Lytechinus pictus: one gene and its partners. The main gene of each other region encodes a partner of the protein of the gene in region 3 in a complex. Links are inferred from orthologs where the notes say so. Each region holds a gene or a part of one and is shown on either strand. Other genes may lie near its edges. The genes, in order: elongation factor 1-beta-like, elongation factor 1-delta-like and elongation factor 1-gamma-like.

Region 1 (8,149 bases), on a different chromosome or scaffold from region 3:
GTGCTTTGAAAACGACAACATCAGCCTGGGATACAGTGTACCTGAAATTGGAAGAGAAAAGTAACTAAAGGTAAACTGATGTAAATTCTTTTCATTCATTCGGGTGTGTATACTATAAATACATAAAGGTTTTTTTTTTCATGAGGGTAGTAACAAAATCTGTAACCACAAGCTACATTGTACGTTGATTGAGTCTAGATGCAACTCACAATAAAAATAACCCTTTTAATTCAAAGTAGGTTCTAAAAATAAAATAATACTAGGGTGGCACCAGATTTGTGCTGTAGACATGTGTCAAAAAGTCAATAGGTGAACTTGCCTCAAATTTTCATTCTATATTTTGAGTGAACAATGTAGTTAAATGTGGCAACATTTTCTGGCAGCCAAGTAATGTGACATGTTTCCATGGCTCCTCACAGAGGCTCAAACAGTCTATAAAGACTTAAAAATGCCTATTTTCAGCCACTAGCCCACAAAGTATAGCCTATGGCCTGGGGATGGGCCAAAATGCTGTATGTATGCATTTCCAGACACATTTTATGGCGCATTTAAGCCTTATTTCTAACTATTTAGTAGGAAATTTCATGGTCAGTTTTGAGCAATGTCTTTGACAATATAATGCTAATAAAGAATATATAATAAAGGTAACGCTTTTTAGTAGAAATGCCGTTTCATTTTTTTTTGCCCTATCTAATAGTAATTCAAGATTTGTATAGCGCACTTTCCATGTTGATCTTAATTAGATGCTCAAGGCGCTCAGAGCGGAATAAAATAATTGTTTTCTAAAAAAACACATAAAAAACAATCACATTCTTTTTATGTAGGCCTACAATAGGCTACATGTATGTTGATTTAATCTTAGACTAGGGTGTCTGGAGAATTTTTTTTTCTTATTTCAAGGAAATATCACATTTTCTTTGTGAATTTGAAGAGAAAAAACCTTCAGACTGATAGAAATGTAATATTTTTTGAAAAAATCCAATTATTGGCTGCAAAAAAGAAGAATGAAATTAGGTCAATTTTCAGCATTTCCCTGCCATATTACTGTGTAGTTAAGAAATGGACACACACAAATCCTAATTTTTAGCTTCCGAGAGCTGTTATAAATTTATTATTAATGCCAAAAACTTGTCCATAAAGTGTCTAGTAGGAATTTTTATGCTCTTTCCGATGGTATGATTTTTATAAAGATTTGGAAACCAGATCACAATGAAGAATTGCGACAAAGTGAAAAAATTTGTGCAAAACAGAAATTTCATTTTCCCATAGAAAATGCATGGGGAAATAACAATCTCAACACACAGACAAATAAGGGTTTGCAATTTATCTCTAAATCCTTATTTCAAATAATCCTATAAACTTGTCCTTACTGTCAAAAGAAGCCCCTGAATTTTCTTTCAATACATGCCAAACAAAAGTTAATAATCAATTCAGATCACATTTTTTTAGCAGCCTGAATTTCCTGAAAAAAGTGTGCCATATTTTCCCCTAAATCAGCCTGTCTTATGCTGACACTTTTCAGTGTGGCTTCAGACACCCCACTTAGACAGGAAATAAACAACTAAAACCTGAAAGATGACTTGAATAAAATAAAAACAAAAGAAAAATCACACACCAAAATTTTTATTATCAAAAATGGATGTGAAATAAGAAAATTGTGTGAGTTTTCACAAAATGAAGGTGATATGACAGAGGTGCTGGTCAGAAAATTGGGATCGTCCCAGTTTACAGGGACTGTCTCAGTTTTCAAAGATTTCTCCACACAAGAAATCTAACGTAGGAAAGTTCATTCACCTGTGAAGTGCCGATTGATGTCGGCACTTCACAGGTGAATGAACTTTCCTAAGTTAGATTTCTTGTGACATCAATCCAGTGCACTAGTCAATGTAATGTAAACATATCATCAGGTTTCATAACAAGATTATTGGAAATGGAAGACAGAAAGTCATGAAATATAGATTATAGTCATAGACATAGTCCATAGACGGTGAACTGGGGGAATTGAGGTCACTTAATCTATTTTTAGCACTCTCAATCCCGCAATTATCGCTACCCCAAATAGCGATTTTGCCGAGATCCGGGAAAAATCCCTGTAACGCGCATTGCATTATGGGATAGCTTTTCGGTATTAAAACTTCCTGTTCGGAAGTCCAATGCACTGTTTTGCCATTCAGATCAACAGTGCCGTCATGCACAACAACACAACGTCGCTTTCGCTCGGAAAGTTCGTGATCACAACCCTCTCTTTCACGATACAGTTTAACGGCCTTTTCTGCTAAAGTCACTAATTCTGCCTGACGCTTTCCATTGCACGGTATTCCTCTGTCAGTTAAGATTTTTTAAAGTTCCAAAACTGATTTTTTTTTTATCCATTTTGTGGTCGACGAAAAATTGAACGGAATGAATGCTGTAGGCTATATATTAAGCGTCTAGTCGAATACGATCGTGATGTCAGGCCGGTCGCTAAATGCGAAATTTTAAGATACTCATTTTTTGTTTAATTTTTTATAACCAAATAAAAACATGAATAAAAACTATTTTCACATGAAATATATTTTTTATTTTTATTTATAATTCAAATGGAATCAAAACTGACCAAATTAGATAAAAAGTATTATAATCTGTACATATCGCTGATTGGCATCGATTTCAGCGTGGTGGAAAACTCAGTATCGCGAACCTCGCGCGAGCATGACTCTGAACCGGAAGTGGTGATGACGACCCGACGGAGTGAAAATAATCTCGTCTCGCGCATTATGAGATTTTTGTTCCTATTTGGGGTAGCGAGAATTGCTGTCCATGTCCCGCAGGGCTAAAGTCACTAAGTGAATGAAGAGAAACTGTCCCAATAAACAAGGACAATCTCAATTCATCAAGACATGATTTGTCTTGCCTTGGTTATGACATGATGAGGATATCCTTGTTTTCTGAGACTGAGTGAGAGTGAGACAATCCCAATTTTTGGACCAGCGCCTCTATCTACCTGTCTACTGACAGAACCAATCACACACAGCAGTATAATTATCAATAAAAAACCCATTGTGGTTTACTTTCGTATGCTAATTTACTATTAACATTTGATATCCCAATCATGCCTATGGTACCCATCTCAACTTGAACATCGCAGTGGCAGTGCAGGGCAGACACAGCACGCAGCTCAGACTCAGTTAACCCAGGGAGCTCCCGCCCGCGCGGGCGGGAGCTTCCTGGGTTAAGACTCAGTCAGCTCACGCCACGCCTCGCTAGACGCTACCTCGTATGTTGTTGAATCTTGTGAAATAAAAAGAAAATTACCCTTCAATGTAACTGCGATCTGATAGGAAATCATTAAGGGCACCGAGCCCACTGCTGCTTTTAAGATCACCGAAACCCATTTTTGCAAGATAAGTTTGTTAAAAGTCGGAGTTGAGACGAGCAGCAAGTGAATCACACGTGTACTTTTCAGGAAAGGATGAATAATTGGATGACTCTGGAACTGGGCACGCACAGCACACAGTATACATACATTGAATGTAAAAAAGGGGGGTTCAGCGAAAAAAAATCTCGCATGTGCGAAACGTCGATGCACTTGCGCTTTGCCAAACAAAACTGCAGTGCACTGCAAGTGCGAATGGAATTGTGAATGTGGTAAGGTGGTCGCCCAAAATTTGTCAAAATGAGTGATACACCAACTTACCGTAACTTAACAAATGGAGAATATGGGAGACCGAAAGAGTACCAGAACAAGGTTGATATATCATTCGTTTTAAATCTTGAATTTACCATGTAATAAGGAATGTTTCGTGTGCATGATTTGGTGTAGTGTGAGAAGTTGTAATATTGTGTACATTAAATCAATGCCACAGCGAACCGACCTGAGTGCGGATATTAGGCTCCATGTTATAGACAGCTGGCAGCCGTCTGTTTCGAGGAGTTTTTTAAAAACATTTTTATTTTTTTTTATTTCTCGTACACAGACGGCTCGCTATCGTGCAGCCACCATTAGGGGGTTAACAATGCAAAATCCCCCCGACGGGGCTCATTGATTTTTGTCTGACTTAATTTCATAAATATATAAAAAGAACTGTACGTGTACCAAAACTAAAAAAAGGCAAAATAAAGATTATTAATATTCCGTTTTGGCCTGAAATGCACCAAAACGGGGAAAAATAAAATTAAAAGGGGAAAACACAGTGACTTACCTCGGCTGTCGCGCAACTTCACTTCCCTGTTTTATCCGAACTAATAATTACATGAACATATTAATATTAATTATTATAAATGGCCATAATTGGGTCCCTGTACAGATTGAGCTACAACTTCAGTCTCTGTATTTGGTGAGTGGAGCCAACGGAGTTCAGCGGAACAACCAACATACCAGAGACTGAAGCTTTTGGTCTAGGTCCATGTTATGATTCAGTGACATAACTGACATACATTACAGCTGACGGAATATAATCTCCTCCACTCACCGGAGGAGGGAGACGAAGAAGTATGATTTCATCACCTGCAATTTTATTATCCTTGAGCTCCCTGGGTTAAGTTTTCACGTGCTACTACTTGCAAAAGCTATTGTAAAGTTAGATCTTTATAATAAGGAGAGCGTAACGTTAGAGCTTGAAGTTAATGTTTAAAAAAATTGAAAAATCTTATTTAGATACCTAACACGAACAAAAGATGTAGAGACTCTAGACTTTAAATCTGATTTTTGTCTCGTCGATCGTCAACAAGTCAAAAGTTTAACTTTTTGAAACCTGGACATATAGCTAGGAGTAGGATATTTAAGTGTCACCAATCATGGTTACTGATCATTTGAGTTTCAGGTATACAAGTCACATATCACAATTGGGGTCAATGAACTTTGTCCTTGTGGTACATGTATCTTAAATTTAACAAGTATAAGATATTGAATTTTTAAGATAATTTTGAGAAATGAGTACATGTACATGTTCATAAAACTGATGGTGATTGCAGGCCTGGCCTATGCTACTATTATGTTCTTCTTATCCTTGATGAAGTTAGAGGTTAATACATGGCTGGTGTTTACAATTGATTTTGATTCTGTCTTTTTTTTTCATTGTGAAAACAGCTCCTAGAAGATGCAGTGCGCCCTCACATTGAATCCTTCAATTACATGCTTGACGATGGATTAGCACAGGCAGTGAGGAACATCAATCCAGTGGAGTTCCTATTGGATGATGAAAGAATTTCACTTTCATATGAGGTATCATTAGAAAAGATTTGAATAGTATTTTGAAATCAAATAATATGATGAAATCTAATTTTTTTTTATCAGTATGAAAAGTTTGATTTGATCCAAAAGATTCCAGAGTGACTGTGGAAGAAGATAACACATGAAGTATTAAAAAAACAAAGTAAACATTGTACTTTTGCTTGATAGATATCAATGTTCTTATGTTTCTGAATAGCTGAGTAGTTTAAATGAGAGAAAGTTGGAGACAGAGTTTTACTCATGAAAACATTACTCTGGAATTGCCATTGCATATAAGTATGAAAATGGGGCATTATACTGGTACACTGTATATGCACAAGTATGGATTGCCATTAATAGTAATTTTCAGCTATCTTGTTTCATTCTAATTTCTAAAATGATTCATCTCCATCTTTACCCCCAAGTATTCCTTATATAAAAAAAGTGAAAAAATACTTCTTTCTACATTTTCCTTAAAATTCACATGAAATCCCGCCTCATCCCAAACTTAAAGGGGAATCCAACCCAAATAAAAACTTGTTTTTATAAGAAAAAGAAAAGTCAGACAAGTTGATAGGTGAAAGTTTGAACAATATTGGACAAACAACAAGAAAGTTATGAATTTTTCAAAGTTGGAAATATTGGTAATCACTATACTCATGGAGACTTCAAATTGGCCGCATATGGGATGTCATAGTGATGTAAGGCAAGGACTACTCTTCCATGTACTCCACTACATATTATGGCTAAAATGTCATTTTTCCTCAAAGTTTTATTTCAAATTGTATTTTTCTTTCATGAGGACATTTAACAATATACTACCTGGGTTATATTTAGATTACTGCCCCAGGGGAATGGGTACTTAGGAGAAAACCACAAATCCCTGATAATAAAGTACATGGCCTATGGGAAGGTTGTCCTTGCCCCTTGTCATAATTTACTTACCCAGTTGCCAATTTGAAATCTACATACTATTAGTGATCCCAATTTTAAAGCAGCTATGACTTTCTTATTTCTTGTCCGATTTATTTCAAATTTTCACCATTCTGTTTAATTTATTTTTCTCCTTCCCAACACAACATTTTATGACCAAGGCTGGATTCCCCTTTAATTTCATCTTTATCCTTTCTGGCCCATAGTATTCCTATCCCCTGGGTCACCTGTATATCACAATATGCTCTGATGTTGTGAATGTCCTGTTCTTAATTTTATTGTTATTTATGTTTTTTTTTTCATAGGATACATTCATTCTTTGTGATTGTTTTTTTTTTCATAGGATGCATTCATTGGTGTACCAACCATTGCAAGAGGAAACCTGTTTGCTTCTACTCTTAAAGTCTACCCATCAGAGGTAGGTTCAGGGTGACCGTTTCATTAAAGTTGTCAGCACTGACAAATTGATTGTCTCTGACAGTTACTATAGTAACAGTCAGAGGCCAGTGCCTCTCAGCCAATCAAAACCAAGGATTTCACTGAAATTATCAGTACTGATCCTTCAATGAAACTCCCAAAGGTCGCTTGATTTCTTTTCCTCTCATTGGCCCTGAGAAATTGGTTATTTTTATCTTTATTTATCATCGAATATCCTTGAAAATGTGTTGCGAAAGCCATCTAAATTTCAATGACTAAAATCAAATTTCAGCTATAGGTGAACAATTCGGGATTATGTGCAATGTACATTGTAGGCTAATCAAAATGCCATTTATAGGTAGATATGCTCTTCAGCAATATCTCGAAGTGGCGGGTTATCTGTAAAAGTTCATTTACATTTTAAATCTGTCATCAGGATCCACGATCAAAGATATGGGAATGTTGTTTAGTCTATAATGATAATGACGTCCTTTTATAGTGCGTAACACCTTATCAGAAGTCTCTAAGTGCTCAATAATGATGCAGGGTGATAACCCCAGCTTTAGCAGAGCAGCTGTTAGGCACACTCTGTTTCAAGGGCTAAATTCCTGCCAAGTCCTCATTTACATGTACCTCACCTGGGTTGATTGCAGCAAAATCTGGATTACTTTCTTGCCGAGGGAAATCAATACCGCTGTACATCCTGGAGAAGGATTGGAACCAATGACCCTCTTGGGGGAAATGTTGGAGTGAGAACCACTACACCATGGCAACACCTCCAGAGTGATTGTAGTTGCTTAAAAAAATAAATTTGTTTCCTTTTAGTGTCGACAGCGTGGGACGACGTACCAGGCCCCTCTTCAGGCAAGGGTGCTCTGGCAACGAAGCAATGGGGACAGTGGGAGTGTCATGCGTCCTCTGGGCCAGATACCCATCCTTGTAAAAGTAAGTCAATGAATCCAATCCAAATCCACATTTCATTGTTTGAAAATAGAAGTCTTCAAATAGAAATATTCCGAAAATTCTTTTTGCCCAATTCTTCTTGGCCCGGCAGCCACTGTGCAGCGTCAGATAAACGAGATCTATCCCTTCAATGTTGAACCCCAGACAGGGTAGCAGCAACTCCCAAAATACATCTTTTGGTCTGATGCTCCGGCGTTTGAACTCTCGACCTCCCGGTTGTGAGACGGACGCTCTACCAACTGAGCAAACACAGTACACCGCAATACAATTCAGGAAAGCTTTATCATACCTGCCAACTGTAAAGAGAAAGTACTAGTAGTATTTGTTGAAAATATGACATGAATAAGGTGGTACAAAAGGACATAAAAAGAGATGAATTGGTTTTGTACACTCTTGCACACATTTTTCTATTATTATGAATTCTTGAAACCTGCTGAATAAATGATTAGTAAAGAAATAAATGAATGAATTCTGTACTTTTTTTCAGTGTAAGAATTGCAATCTTCACAACCTACCTCCCAGTGAGCTTGTAAAAAGGAAAGAAGAGGGCTCTGAAATGGGAGGTTATTTCATCGCTAACGGCATTGAGAAGGTCATCAGAATGCTCGTCATGCCAAGAAGAAATTTTGTAAGTAGCCAAATTCT
Region 2 (8,041 bases), on a different chromosome or scaffold from region 3:
TTAAGAAAAGTGAAAACTTTTTGTATCCTATCTCATTCTCAAATTTGAATCTGTTTTTTCTAGATCCCCTGCAACTGTGCAAGTCAGGTTCAGAAAAAATTCAAGATCTCGAGCTACATTGTACCATGCGCCGCAAAGTAGGGTGGGGCATAGACAGCTGGCAGGCGTCTGTTTCGAGGAGTTTCTTAACATTTTTATTTTTTTAAAACTTCTCCTTGTACACAGACAGCTCGCTATCATGCAGCCACCATTAGGGGGTTAAAAATGCAAAATCCCCCCGACGGGGCTCATCGATTTTTGTCTTTATTTCATAAAAATATATAAAAAGAACTGTACCAAAATAAAGATTGTTAATATTATTCTGTTTTGGCCTGAAATGCACCAAAACAGGGAAAAATAATCTTAAAAGGGGGAAAAACAGTGACTTATTAATTCGGCTGTTGCGCCACTTCACTTCCCTGTTTTATCCAAACTTAATACATAAACATATAGCCATTAAGTCCCTGTACATATCGAGCTAGAACTTCGGTCTCTGTATTTGGTGAGTGAAGCCAACGGAGTTCAGCGGAACCAACATATTCCAGAGACCGAAGCTTTTGGTCTAGGTGGGGCATTGGGTAGTGTACGGTATGGTAGTGGATCATATTTCCGAACACTTTCCATGAATTCAATCATATCAAACACATTATTCTCTTAAAATTCATCAAACTTTCACCAAAAATACACTATTACTTACAAAATAAAGATATGTAAAAATTTTGCCGAAATAGTTTTTCCTTTTTACGATATTAGCTTCCTATCGGACCCTTCTTCGCATGTGAAATTTTTTACCACTTGAAAAAGGTATCGTATTACCGAACGTGTGTTTTCTATAGGAAAAATTGAGAAAACAACTAAATCACCGATGAGCTATTTTGACCATATTTTATTATTTTTAGAATATCAAGACTTTGAAAATGTGTTTTTGACAATTTTTTCATCATCTTTCTATTCAAGTTCCCTTTGCACAGCGACAAATTGTGTACAACGGATAGCTGAGCGTTCAATGCTAGTGGGCGTGTACATTTTGCTTATTACATGACGTCATCCAGCCACTGCCGAGAGCCAATTTATGAATGAAAATACAGTAAGCATGCGCAGTGCAAGCCTTCCACTTCCCCACACAGTATTCCACCAAAACAACAAGTGTGCAATTCTCTATCACCTCGTACCAAAATCGACCTAGAATTTCACTTTCCTATATTTTACATGAATTATGAAAGGTTTTCTCGGAGGATCTATTTTCTCACCGATACCACACAGGTAAGTGAATTTCGATTACTTCTTGCTTTTCAGTCAAATTCTTACGAATTAGCATCGATATGGCATCGTATTTGTTGGAATTTGTAGTCTATCGCAACGTGCACAAAGTCAATTGGCTTCCGGGTTTCGGAGCGTCGCGTGAATATGCATGAAATTGCAGAGTTTCGATAATTTTCGATCGATACCGGAGCGATCCGATCACGAACCAAGACCATTTCCCGCGTACTCAACGTCACCGGATATCGTTATCGCTATCGATACTTCCGCACGCAGTCCGAAGGAATTATTTTGGCGACCACGTAGTCATGACGTGATCTGCGCGATTGACCAATCAGCGGTATCCGAATCGCTGTGCGGAGATGATCTATCCGTTGTACACAGTCTATGGACGATTTGTCGCTGTGCTTTGGAAGGATGTTGCAAAGTTTTGAGCATATGAAATTATTTTCTGACACATACGATGCGCGTGTTCGGTAATACAAGGCCGGTCGGTAATACAATCACTCCCTATACCCAAGGACCAAAAAAGAAGAAGGGAGCCCCGCCCCAGCCCGATCGACTGGGCCAGGGCGGAGCTCGTGCGTGCCCCACTGCGGAGTGCGATGGGCTGGTTAGCGGCAGATTTAGTTCCACCGGTGGATACCAATTCCGCCAGCAGATATTGCTCATACTCGGATTCTTGTTGGAACCATATCCGCAGATTTGATGTTTGCACATTTGGTTCCTCGGCGAATTTGGTTCAATTCAGATTGACTAAGCTACGTGACGTCTACGTGAATCATATTGAGATCACCCTCCGGCAGCGCATGCGCGGCTCTGGCCGGCAATATCGGGGGGGGGGGGGGGGGGGGGGGGGGCTAGTGAGTTTGCGCGCCGCGGCCACGACCACATACCTGATGATACGCTACTAGACCAAAAGCTTCGGTCTCTGTTATGTTGGATGTTCAGCTGAACTCCGTGGGCTTCACTCACCAAATACAGAGACCGAAGTTTTAGCGCGATCTGTACAGGGGACTCAATGGCCATATGTTTATTATTAAGTTCAGATAAAACAGGGAAGTGAAGTTGCGCGACAGTCGAGGTAAGTCGCTGTTTTTGTTACTTTTAACTTGATTTTTCCCCTGTTTTTGGCAATTAATGCCCGGCAAGAGGGAATATTAATTTGCATTTCTGTCGCGTTAATTTTCAAAAGTTTTATTCATTAAAGACAAAAATTGAAGAGCCCCGACAAAGGATTTTGCATTGTAAGTACCCTAAATTAGCCTAATGCCAATGGTGGCTGCATGAAAGCGAGCCGTCTGTGTACGAGGAAAAAAAAAAACTCCTCGAAACAGACGGCTGCCAGCTGTCTAATACTAATACGCTGCCTACGTGCATGAATGATGCATCTGCTGAAGGGAAATTGTGGGAGAAATTGGCACTGAATCCGCCGGCGGATCATGTGTGCCTAGAACTTGTAGAAGCCAGTCACCAGATTCGCAGTTACACCGTCACCGACTGTCATGACGGTGCCGTTCCGGTACGCGACGCTTCCGGTACAAAGCGCGATCCCGACGGGAGGCGTCCCAACTGCCCAATTCCCAACATACACACCCCCGGCCCGACACACACTCGCAGTCATGGCAGTGCAGACTGCAGTGACTCGACTCGTGCAGTCGTGGGAGCGACTGACGAAAGAAAGGCAAATTTCCTGGCGAGAACGATAATATAATTACCAGAGAAGAGTTCCCATTAATGAAATATCAAATTTCATTTCATTTTCAAAAAAAAATATTTACATACATAAAGTAGAAACAACTTATTATCCTCAAATTATGTTTTGTAAAATTTACCGGCGTTTCCCGTCTGTGTACACGTGAATAAAAAGGCTGAAAAAGGAGAAAAGTGTGTGTGCGCCGGTATGGTATCGCTTCTGTAAAAATAAAAAAGACAATTTACATTTCATAATTTCAAGTCCTATCCTAGGCTATAGTTCACAGGCTTGTTACAACTTCTTGTTTTTAAGATAAACCTTTTTTTACTTGTACGCTGTAAGCAAATTTTATCTGATGATGTACATACACTTGAAAATTGCACTTCACCAGTAGGACAATCCACCGATGGCTTGCCGTGTACAGAAGAAGAAGAACTTTCACAATCAGGTCGTGATATGAAACAAAAGGAAATGATTTTAAAACGGCACTCAGTTTTTAGTTTAGATTAATCACCCTCCGCTCCCCTAATACTTGATCCTAAAGAAATGGAATATTTACTGCATCATATGTGTGACAATTCAGGCTTTTAAAATATTCAGCAAATTACAATGTACGACTGTAAAAAATATCTTTGAATTACGGTATATAAGTAGAATGATTGTAATTATTTCTCGATTTTTTCAGTAGGTTTAACTTGTCTTTCAATTTACTTGGTTTATTTGGGTTCAAAATATATAGCTTGCTTCGATTAAGTAAATCTAACTCCAATTAGGCAAAGATAATTATTACTTATAAAGTCATGTTGAATGTACTTATATTTTTCAATCAGTAACGCCGCCGCCTTATTCAATAATTCATTATCAAGTAAATGTTAAAATTTTTAAATAACTGTCATATCTATGGTGTGAAATTGTTTTGGATTAGAATGCGCAAAATATTTTATTCTCATGCAGCAGAATCAAAGAAAGAACAACATTAAATAGTCACTCATCTGAAAATTTCAGATTTCTTTTTAGGTTTGCGGAAAATGTAAATATTATTGTTAGAATGAACCGGTCGCCTATAAATATAACTGTCAGTAGTTCTCAGGACCTATCATGTACAGGTAAGTGACAATGCATATAGAGTCTAATATTTGGATAAAAGATGTCTATATAATAAGATGAAAATGATGTCACTGAAAGTGGGATGATGGGGGAGCGGATTTTCGAATCACGAAAGTCCACTCCGCCATTAAAAAAAAATATTTCAGTGATTGTTTTACTTAATTGAATTAAGTTGTTGTAACTTGATTTACCTGAATAAAATGTATTCCAAAAAATAAATAAATTTAACTAAAAACTGCTAAACTTATAAATACTTGAAAAAATTAAGGCATATTTTTTTGTCTCAATTTTATTGAGTAATTTCAAATATTTTTTTTAACAGTTTATTTCCAAAGTGTAATACTGTAGGCAGTGGCGTACCGTGGGTCACGGCATTGGGGGGGGGGGGGGGGGAGGCACCAGCAACAAGAATTGAGTCACTTAGTGCCAGGTATACTGACCTAATAGAGACATTTTAATGGCAGTACCATTAAACGGACATGTATCTCACTGATCAAATAATGCGAGCGCGAAGCGCGAGCAGATTTTTTTTAAATATTTAGACCTGAAAAGGGACATTATAAACAATTTTTTGTAATCATGATACGTACCTGTTCCGCTAAACAAACAATGCGAGCGCGAAGCACGAGCTGAATTTTGTGTAATAATTGATCCCATTAATCCATTAAGAGTATACATATCTCACCAAAATCATCTAATGCGAGTGCCAAGCGCTTGCTGATTTTGTTAGAATTACATCTTAACAAATGAATCACTTGTAGTCATTGTAATCATGATCAACATACGCATCTCACTAATCAAATATTGCGAGCGCGAAGCGCGAGCTGAAAATTTAGGGAATTCAGACCTGAAGAGGGGCATTCTAAGACTTGTTTGTAGGAATTCACTAAGACCATACGTATTTCACTATCCAAATGTGCGAGCTCGATCGAAGCGCGAGCTGAAATTTTTTGATATTCAGATCAGAAAAAGGGACATTTTAAGGACTGATTTTAGGATTTAATGAAGAGCAGACATCTCACCAATCCACTAATGCAAATGTAAGCACGGACAGGAAATGTTTTATATTAATACCTTAAAATGGGGCAATCACTTTATGTAGTCATGAAAAAGAAGCATATGTCACAACATAAAACAATAATAACTCGAAAAGCGAGGAAGTATATTTGGTGTATTGACTTGAAAACGGGAGGTTTTAGTAAAACAGGATTACATATCTCGTTAAACAGACAATGCGAGCAACAGGAACTATGAAGACATAGGCCTGAGAAAATTATGTTTCATAAAGTTATGAAAAAAAAGTTTTTTCTATGTAATATAACATAACATAATCATAATATAATATAACATTATAATGAACAATAATTTCTTATTTCCCACTACGTTTCTCTTTCTTTCTTTCTCTTTTTTTTCTCCTCCCCCCCTTTTTTGGCCAGCCGATTGGGGGGGGGGGGGGGCACGTGCCCCCCATGCCCCCCGTAGATACGCCACTGACTGTAGGGCCTATAATGGTCATATTCATCCCTTGAGAGCGATCAGGGCCCGGAAACGATTTTTAGATAGGCGGTGCTTGGGGTTTGGTCGTCAGAAAAATTGTGCTCCGTCATTTTGTTTTTGGGAGCACAATACCCCCTCTTTTTTGCTTCTCAACCTTATTTCCATGCAGGGAGTGCTGCCTATTCTTTGCACAACGCAGCACTCCCTGAAAAATCTTGCGTCCCGCTTCCCAGCGCCATGGAAAGTTGGAAGCGATTGCCTTTTTTAAAAATATAATTGTCTGATTTTCTTGGAGGAAATTTTCGTCGAGAACCAAATTTTTGAAAAAAATATTAACCCGGGATTTAAAAAACCTCATCGGATGTTGGCTTAATGCTAAATTGTATAAAATGCTTGATTGGCGGCACCGGTAGTAGCGCCAGTAAGACAGGGGCCGCGGAATGGTTTTCAAAGTGGGGGAGGCTGAGCCAAAAGGGGTGGGGGGGGGTGACCATGCTAAAAATCACAATCATATGGTCATTTTTACGTTTTTGTACACGGTTTTGGAAAAAAGTGGGGGGGCTGAAGCCCCCCCAGCCCCCCGGTTCCGCGGCCCCTGTAAGAGGGGGGGGGGGGGGCAAGTGTGGAGGGCAATAAAAGTGTTTGTGGAGGGGGGTGTCGGATAAAAAAAAGTAAATTTGAATTATTACAAAAGTACGCGAAGGTCCCAATTCGTCTATTGCCAACTCGTCCACTCATCACATGGTCTAACTTCATTTAGTCTAATGCCATTCGTCCATCAACATTTTGTCTAACAACTATTTGGTCCAATCATCACTTTGTCTAATAATCACCCGTTCGTCTATATGACAGTTTCGTCTCATAGTTGGTCTAATATCCAATTTATTTTCATTCATTTCTCCCAACTACCACAGACCATGTGGATCGTGGACGAACTGATGGTAGACCAAATGATAGAAGACGACTTGGTATTATACTTATAGACCAATTGAAAATAAACCAAGCGAACAGCGACCGAGTGAGACAGTGTTCAAGTTTTGAAGAGTGAAATATACATGTATAGAGCACATTACAGATTGAATGATTATTGAAAGCACAAACGCACTACCTGATATTATTCTACATAAATTCTTCAGTTTTCAAAATTTGGGGACGAGGAGGAAACAAAGTTAAGGACCAGGCGATGATTTTTGAGAGGGGATGCTAGTTTGAAAAAAAAAAGACAAGAAAAAAGGGGACTCGCTCACAAATGAAGGTGAATGTGGCCGGAAGCAAAAAACTAAATACATAAAAAATCCACAAGCGCCCCCCCCCCCGTAAAAAAGGGTTTCGCCTAAAAATGAAGGGGATTTTGGTTAAATTTCTCCTCTTAGGCATACCCAATCTGATTTCCAGGGGGTGCTGCCTATGCCATGATGTATGCAGCACCCCCCCCCCCCGACAAAACTTTGGGTGCTTCAGCACCCTATGCGTTTTAAATGAAATATATATCTTTTTAAATGAATATTAACAATTTTGGATGGTTTTATGTGAAAGTAAGAAAAGTAAATCATGCATTCGGAGGGCTGGGGATCAAGCTTCCTATATCTGTCCTTCCTATGGACGACTTATATCTTCATCACTTTGTTATAATACACAATGGGTATCATATATATATTTTTATCAAATTTGTATATTGAATAGAAATAAAGTAAATAATTATCTACTTATAATAATAAAATACAAAGCGCATTTTGAGAAACGAAGAAACAGTATAAAACAAAACCTGAATTTATAACAAGTTGGAATTGATTCTAAACTATTTCATTCCAAAATTTTCAACAAAATTACAATTATATCAATAATATGGGCCGAGTGATTATTATTTTAACCAAGTCCACACTCATCTAAACATTCCAACTACCAAGGCCCTGTGAACGATGGGGGTGCTGATGTAAATTTGAAAAGCAAAAAAAAAAAAAAAAAAAAAATGTTTTCACTACAAAACGGAGGTCATTTTGATCCAGAGAAATTTGACAAAAAAAAAGGTTTTACCTAAAAAAGTACCTCATTTTGCCTACATTTTTCAATTTTTCCACCCCATACCAGAAGCACTCCTACTTGCCCGCTCAGTTCCCAAGGCCATGCCAACTAAAAGTGGGAAAGAGGAGGAAGACGAGTGAATAAAATAAGATGAGGGGAAGATTTGAAGAAATACAAAAAAAATCATGTCACTAATAAAATTTTCAGTTATATAGTTTTCAATTATTTTCAGTTCGAGCTTCACGCTCGCATTATTCATTTTCATGATAACAAATGTATTTAGAATGCCCAGATAGGCCTCATATACGCACACGCATGTTTATTGAGATATATGCAGCTTATTCTTTATTTACAACATGCTTAAATTATCTAGTTTCATATCAGAATATCCAATATTTTCTGCACGCGCTTCGCGTTCGT
Region 3 (7,910 bases):
TCCGTTTAAATTGCATCATTCAATATTTGATTATGGGCAATTCCATGTTAAAATGAACAAGACATCTCGGAAAATGTCAAATTATACACGTTTAAATTTGCAGTATTTGACAAGTCTTGCTATACAAATTACACAATAAATTAAACAACATTTATACAACAGTTGCAATGTTGTGACCATAACAGCTATAGCTCCTATCTTTTTGAAAACGATGTAAAGGCAATACCCAAGTGAATTGGCAACAAAATCAAACACATGTTTTTTTTAAGGCCAATCTCCTAGGCCCTAAGAATGCCTTTCAATAAGGCTAAGTATATAAACCACAAAAATACTGTATAACCTACCATAGTATGCAATAGCATTACTCTCAAACAATGTTGTTCCACTTCCATTCTCAAAGGCTGGAACCTAAATGAAAAAAAAAAAAATTTAAGTTAAACATTAGTTCTGGTCATGAAAGTAAAATCTGGAGGAAACTGTCAAAAGTGATTGGGAGTGGTCATAAACATAGGGACAGTGATTTTCCATGATCACGGAAAACAGACGGAATTCACGGAATCGACCTTTTGAAACGGAAAGTGGCTTTTCAAACTAAAATCACGGAAAACATATTTTTTCTCAAAATGCACAGAATAGCAACAGAAATTACTCCAAAATCCTCAACGAAATACGAATATCAACTGGTCAAAAAACACGATCTCACTTCGCTACAACAATCATGACAATCCACACATCGTGACTGCACTCGAGCGAGTCGAGCCCCTCCATCACTTAAAATTAGTTTACACTCACGTCCGCATGAAGGCAGAAACATGGCCGTGTGTTGCTGCCCTCTGCGTTCTATCATAATATCATATCGCGGTATTCCTCAAATCCAAAATGGCGGATAGGCGAAAGTCGTTGATTGCTCAAAAAGATGTCCAAAAAGTCCCCAAATCATCGATAAAATCTCATTTAACCACAAAATAATGCTAATAATGTGAAAGGTGAGGATGTATTAATAGCGTTGTTAGTAAAGTGGCAGATACAAAGTTTGACCAACACAAGTATTTTTACATCACTACTCATTGCGTATTGATTTTCTATGTAAACGGAATTGTCACTCTTTCATGTACACAAAGTCTATGGGGAAATAGAATTTCCGTTTTCAGACATGCTGAAACAGAATTCAAGCTTTTCTTAAATTGAAAAAGTAAATTTTAGAAACGGAAAATCACTGCCCCTAGAAACCTGAAAATTTTAAAATTTAATTAATGCAATGATAGGGGGAGGGGGCCATTATGCCCATTAAAGATAAATTTATATTAAATACATTCTGCTTACCACCTTTCAAAAAAATATGCCGGGAAAATAGTGAATTTTTATTACAAATAGATCAGGATCAGCCAGGTTCTTCTTCGATCGCCGTCAGCGCAGCTACAGCTGAGCGTACGGCCGTGCCAGTGGAATGGCTGGCATGTTCGTACGCTCAGCTAGCTGTAGCTGCGCTGACGGCAATCGAAGAAAACCTGGGGCCAATTGCACAAAAAGGTCTTTGCAAGAACCGTCTTTCGTGTCGCCCATTTATCATGATGCAACATGTGAAACGCATTTTAAATAAATTGCCTGCAAACATATTTCATTCATCCGTTAAAGTAAACAAAATCTTTGTTTATAAAATGATGTGATGTATCATGAAATTGTATACAAATTGATTTAAATGCTAGCTAACAAATTTTCTTTGTTTATCATACATTTAAGAAATATCCCGCATACAGCGCATCATAAAAGACGGGCGACACGAAAGACGGTCCTTGAAAAGACCCTTTCGTGTAATCGGCCCTAGCCTGGCCTTGAGGCTCCTAGAGAGTAAAAATCATTTACTAACGCATGCTTACTCTCAACGGAGCCTGGAATTGCTTCCCATAGTTACACGCACCGCCCAAAAACCTGAAACTTTCGCCCCCGAGATTTCTACTTTCCTTCTAAAAAAAGATCTAGCCCTAAATCATGTACATGGGATGGGATACAACTTCATTTCCAACATTACTACGATATTGATTTCATTTTTAAACAAGAATTCATTGAAGAAACAAGAAAAATGTTATGAAAAGACGGGAAGAACTTGCCACCGTGCTTACGTCGCCATCTTGATTTCATTGTCTTGCCAAATTCGCGCATGCGCCCAACAGCCTCGATCGGCCATTTTGTTTTGAATTTTGAAAGGAAAGCTACCGCGACAGAACTTTTCGTTTTTTGAGGTTCCAGTCTGTGCCTCGATGTCAGGAAGCTGCCACTCGTTAGGCCTTCATCCATAAAATCGTGGTAAGTGCTTAATTTCTGTTTTAACTATTTATTCGGATAATTATTTAGACCATACTTCACGCTACTACCGTGGGTATGGTGAATTACACGGTAAGCCCCTGGGCTCCGGCCCGCACAGCGGGCCGGAGCTCCCTGGGTTAGGCTTCGTGTAACCCAGGGAGCTCCCGCCCGCGCAATTCATAACAAAAATGTCCGATCGAGACGGGGGCAGAAGGAGAGAACTTTTCATTTTTTGAGGTTCCAGTCTGTGCCCAGATGTCAGGAAACTGTCACTCGTTAGACCTTCATCCATATACCCTAATGGGCTAATAATACCGTAATCGTGGTAAGTGCATAATTTCTGTTTTCACAATTCATTTGGAGAAATATTTAGACCATAATTATAAATCACCCTAGTCCCGTGAGTATGGTCAAATACACGGTAAGCTCCTGGGCTCCCGCCCGCGCAGCGGGCGGGAGTTTCCTGGGTTAGGCTTCGTGGAGAGTAAGCATACGTTAGTAAATGATTTTTACTCTCTAACGTTAGAAGCCTCCTGGCTAGGCAGGCATGCAAACAAAATGAAAAAATGTTTCACTTTCACTTTCAGATACTGCCGTTACTTTGTATTTTTCAATTTGATTCACCACAGCACTCAAAAACTGTCATCAATGGTGTTGACTCCCAAATTAAAGCAAAGCCCTTCGTGACTGACAGAGAGAGAAGGAAAGAGAGAGAGCGAGGCCTACCTTTCCCAACGGGAATTTCTTCAGGAAGTCGGCTGACTTGTTGGTCTCGCCAAGCTTGAAAGCCGGTGGGTCCTGCACAACGGTCAGCTGTGTGCCGCTGTAACCAGCAGCGATCTGGATCTTGTATGCCCGAGTATTTTCGGGATAGGTGTACAAAGTCTGCAAAACAAGATGATAATGAATAGATCATCACAATATTAAGTATTATATCAACACAAACAAAGGTATTTTAGAGCGTATATTCATAAGATGAAAGAAATATAAGTGGATATAAATCAAGATACACGTGTGGACTTACCCCGGAAGCCATGGCTGCTAGCTGGAAAGACCGTGTTGACGTTGCAAAAAGAGAAGCAGAATAGCTGCGCGAACAACACGCCGGGAGATCCCCCTCCCTCTGTATACGTATGTAGCGGCGTAGTCAGCTGCCGGCCTGCACATGTTCCAGTGACAATAGCTACTTTTTGATTTATGTACGGCCTGAAACCGGAATAAAATTATTACTTCCTGAAGTCATCTGAACGAAACACAATCGAAGAAACATCAGTCCTGTTTAGAATTCTCAGTGAGTTCAATTTTGTATAATTAATTGCAATGTTATGCTCCAAAACTAACGTTGCAAACATCTTCAGTCCCATGCATGCACATTTACGTTTTTGATAATAAAAGCATGCCATAAAAACACACTAACTAGAAAATTAACTTCGAAATTTTAGTCATAGAAACTACATTGGGTCACATTGTTGATAAAAGTTGCAGTGGATAGCTAGAAAAAAGTAGAAGATTTTGAGGTAAATTTTCCATTATGTTTTTTTTATTATATTAATTAGGCCTAGTAGTAGTATTTAGTAGGCCTGGGTCTGAATTAACGGACGGAATACCAGAATCTGATAAAAAAATATCTGTCCAATGACATGTATCAGGTTCTGGTTTTTCTTATTTCTGGTCCTGTATTCCAATGAAACAATGTAGTTTAACATTTTCTTAACCCTTAAAGAACTGGGGGGCCATGATGCCCGGCCCCCCCCCCTTGACGCTTTGCGCGATATTTCCGAAGCGCAAAAAGATAGCGCCACAAAATTTTGTGCCTCTTTTTTGTCACTGAAGTTTTGCGCAACTATTGAGACCAAATTCGTGACATATGATATGGGTATAGCTTCGCGACGTCATCACATGACTTTTTACGAGACAATGTCGTGCCGAAAATGGCCCATTTTTATACTTTTTGTACAAAGACAAAGTCTATTTTGAGATGAAATTCATAAAAGGGTGGATTATTTTTCATTCTAATTGGTCTGCTTAATTAATTTAGGTTTTAATTTAGTTGTTAAATGGACTGTAATAATTCCCATTGAAAAAAAAAATACAAAGAAATACATTGTATATAAGAAATTCTAAAAACAGAGAAAAACATGAGGAAAAAATTGGCTTTTGCAATTTTTCTTTGTGGAAACCTTTAATTAAGTTAGATTTCAAAGATGACATTTGGAAAAAAGGAAGAAAACTTGAAGTGAAATCGGGTGTAAAATATGCAAATAATGTTTTTCATGAATAAATTTGCATATTTGATTCATAATAAATAAAAAATAATTATTTTCAGATTTTTTCCTATACTAGCTTGTAGTTTATGTGATAAAGAATGTGCGTGCCAAATTTCGGCGCAAATGCGTGTACGGCGGCCGAGATCAGAAGGGGGGGGGGACCATCATGGCCCCTCCCCCCAGTCCTCAATACATCTCAAATAGCCCAGTCCTTTTAGGGTTAACATAATGATTGAGCAGAGTATGTTTTATTCAGTCTTACCAATTATAACCAGACCAGTAGAGGCGCTGGTCAGAAAATTAGGATTGTCCCACTCCTAGTTTACACTCGGGGATGTACTGCCTCAGGTTTCAAAGATTTCTTCACACAAGAAATCTAGGAAAGTTCATTCACCTGTCAAGTGCTGACATCAATCAAGTGTGCGAGTAAATGTAAACTTGTTGGGTTTCATAACAAGTTTATTGGAAGACGGCAAGTCGTGAAAAATAGATGGTGAACTGGAGGGAATGGAGGTCACTGAATGTATTTTATCGCTCTCAGTCTCCGTAATTGTCATCTATGTCCCGCAGGGGTAAGTGAAGAAAAAAACTGTCTGCATAAACAAAGACAATCTCAATTTATCAAGACAGGATTTGCATTGGTTTAGGATATCCTTGTTTTCTGGGACAATCCCAATCTTTGGACCAGCGCCTCTACTGATAACTGGTTTCTTTGTTACATTTCAGGTGACCACCGAGAAAAATATGATGAGAAGAAGGGGAAAAAACTTGACGATTACGACTTGACCATCTTGTTCTCTTTGTTAGTAGCTAAGCTACGAGACACATATAGAGTCTGCCGCCCTCTATAATCTATATGCGTCTCGTAGCTTAGCTACTTATAAAGAGAACAAGATGGCCACGTAAACATCAGCAAGTTTTTTCCTCGTCTTCTCTTAATATTTTTCTCGTTTTTTTAAATGAATTTTTGGTTAAAAATGAAATCAATATTATTGTATAATCTGTGACTTATTTGTACTTCCCCATTCGTGAATTCATTTATCGGGATACCGGATTCGGTCCGGTGCAACACCAGTGGATTCCGGAACAAAAAAATTCCAACATGACTCAGGCCCATTATAAGATTGAGAACAACATGAACAAAGAAAGTCAAAAAGTTTAATTCAATAATCTAAAACGTTAAGACACTCGCTTGTGAGAAGAGTCCGCATTTATTGCGAAATGTAAAGATGAGACTAGTATGCCTGAAGGCATATACAATATAAGTAAAAGAGTTTGGCTTACCAATATGGGCTCTAGCCTCAAATTAAGTAACGGTAGTTTCTTCACCTTGAATTTATTTTGCAGCAAATTAGGATTTATCAATTGCAATTTTCAGCTTAATTGCAGAATACCCCACCACTACGAAATTGACCACACACCATATTAGAAGTATATGACAAGTATGCCTCATTCTAAAAGTTTTGGGGTACTGAATTGAATATTTGAATTCGGCCTAGGCCTAACCCTTTTAAAACACAATTTTATCTCTAAATGTATGTACCATCATTATTTATGTTATTTTATATTATAATATGATTGCCTTTATGTATTGTACATATGCTTCATTCCATTGCGGCCACTTAACTTTAATAACGTACACCTAATACTGATCCATTCAAACCTACCAGGCAGCCTTGCTACCAGGATCTACGTATGATAATAAAAATTGTCATTGTTACACTTACACTCATACACTCTCTCTCTCGCCCCCGATCTTTCCGCTCTTCCTCCTCTTGCTCTCTACCTCTCTTTTTTCTCTTTCTCATAGTCTCTTTTCCCTTTTTCCTCCCGTGCTTCTTTCTGGTTAGTCAGAACTCATTGTTATGTTTTTTGGCTGCATGTATTTTAAGTTTTGGCTTATCATAATGGGGATGCATGTCATAATATAATACATGTGTCCCCAACATGATAAACAAAATTTCTATGTGTTTTGCTGTAGAATTTGTGCTTTTTTATTTGATGTTGAATGTATTTTTATGTAAATTTTGTAAAGGGTTCTGCAATTAGGCTTTTCAGCCGCTATAGATACCCTAATTGTTGTAATAAGCCGTTTTAAATTAAAAAAAAAAAATTTGCTCTTGTTCCTAGTTTTTGATCTGATAGCGCAAAATCATCACAAAAAATCTAGATAAAGGTTCCTTAAAGGGGAATTCAGTATATGGTCATAAAATGTTGTGTTGGAGAGGAGAAAAATAAATAGAATAGAATGGTGAAAGTTTGAAAGAAATTGGGACAAGCAATTAGAAAGTTATGGCTGCTATAAAATTGAGATCCCTAAGACTAGATTTCAAATTGGCAACTGGGTAAGTAAATTATGACCAGGGGCAAGGACTACTTTCCCCATAGGCCATGTACTTAATTTTCAGGGATTAATGGTTTTCTCCTAAGTACCCATTCCCATGAGGCGCTAGTCTAAATATAACCCAGGTAATGTATTGTTTTATGTCCTCATGAAAGAAAAATATAATTTAAACTTCAAAGTAAAACTTTTGAAAAAATGACATTTTAGCAATTTTATGCATTGGAGTACAATGGAAGAGTAGTCCTTGCCATACATCACTATGACATCACATATGCGGCCAATTTGGAGTCTCCATGGGTTTAGTGATTACCAATATTTTGATTTTTTGAAATTTCACAACTTTCTTATTGTTTGTCTGATATTGTTCAAACTTTTACCTTTCAACTCGTCTAGTTTTTCATTTTCCTTTAAAACAAGTTTTTATTTGGGTTGTATTCCCCTTTAAAGTGATAACCTCTTAGAGGGATAGTTCACCCTAACAAAAGGTTTATTGTTAAATACAAAGAAAAACATTGATGAAAGATTGAGGAAATCTATTAAAGATTAAGACAGTTCCTAGAAAGAATATAAACTTTTGAATTGTGATGTCATCCGAGCAGCTGCCCCATATGTTATAAAATGTTTCAATTTCAATATTTTTAAGGGTTCATGATAAATAACAAATTTCTTCTCTCAGGAGCGGATGTGAAATATTTTTTCTGTTGATATACTGAAGTTACAAAATAACCCATTTTCAAATTTTGAAAAAATGACATTTTTATTGATTTTTAAATATATGATACATGGGAATCTGCACGCATATGACATCATAATTAAAAAAAAATAGAATTCTAATAAATTTTTAAATCTTTAATGGATTTTCCTCGAACCCTCACCAATATTTTTTAATGATTTTTTCTGCATTTTCTACAATAACTTTTTGTCAGGGTGAACCTTCCCTTTAAAACCTTGGTACTTCTTCTGGAGTCACTACACAAGGCTTGTCCAGTGCTGGC

What was found.
Region 1: the proteins of elongation factor 1-gamma-like (region 3) and elongation factor 1-beta-like are in contact, whole or in part, in a crystal structure (PDB 5DQS), measured with the Homo sapiens proteins. The link is inferred for Lytechinus pictus from reciprocal best matches to the Homo sapiens genes EEF1G and EEF1B2. Residues at the interface, in NP_001395.1 of Homo sapiens: Leu146, Lys147, Thr148, Arg149, Thr150, Phe151, Glu155, Arg156, Pro185, Asn186, Arg189, Leu192, Thr193, Asn196, Gln197, Pro198; in NP_001032752.1 of Homo sapiens: Ala20, Asp21, Lys22, Ser23, Tyr24, Tyr28, Val29, Cys50, His51, Arg54, Asn57, His58, Ser61, Tyr62, Glu65.
Region 2: the proteins of elongation factor 1-gamma-like (region 3) and elongation factor 1-delta-like are in contact, whole or in part, in a crystal structure (PDB 5JPO), measured with the Homo sapiens proteins. The link is inferred for Lytechinus pictus from reciprocal best matches to the Homo sapiens genes EEF1G and EEF1D. Residues at the interface, in NP_001395.1 of Homo sapiens: Tyr9, Trp13, Arg14, Phe40, Gly41, Asn44, Gly56, Lys57, Val58, Ser104, Val107, Pro108, Ser111, Thr112, Phe115, Ile120, Met121, His123, Asn130, Glu134; in NP_001123527.1 of Homo sapiens: Ala2, Asn4, Phe5, Leu6, His8, Glu9, Ile11, Trp12, Phe13, Lys15, Phe16.

The regions. Positions count from the first base shown.
Region 1 is NC_087257.1:11,050,873-11,059,021, reverse strand, and holds the start of elongation factor 1-beta-like, read right to left. Parts: upstream 3,515-8,149; 5' UTR 3,375-3,514; coding exon 3,295-3,374; intron 42-3,294; coding exon 1-41. Other genes in the region: DNA-directed RNA polymerase I subunit RPA2-like, read left to right, coding at 3,656-3,727, 5,069-5,203, 6,468-6,542, 7,367-7,486, 7,992-8,132. UniProt on the Homo sapiens protein: Catalytic subunit of the guanine nucleotide exchange factor (GEF) (eEF1B subcomplex) of the eukaryotic elongation factor 1 complex (eEF1).
Region 2 is NC_087255.1:10,468,256-10,476,296, reverse strand, and holds the start of elongation factor 1-delta-like, read right to left. Parts: upstream 3,213-8,041; 5' UTR 3,135-3,212; exon of another isoform or gene 3,018-3,134; intron 1-3,017.
Region 3 is NC_087251.1:26,859,413-26,867,322, forward strand, and holds the start of elongation factor 1-gamma-like, read right to left. Parts: upstream 3,695-7,910; 5' UTR 3,341-3,694; coding exon 3,329-3,340; intron 3,190-3,328; coding exon 3,031-3,189; intron 409-3,030; coding exon 345-408; intron 1-344. UniProt on the Homo sapiens protein: Probably plays a role in anchoring the complex to other cellular components.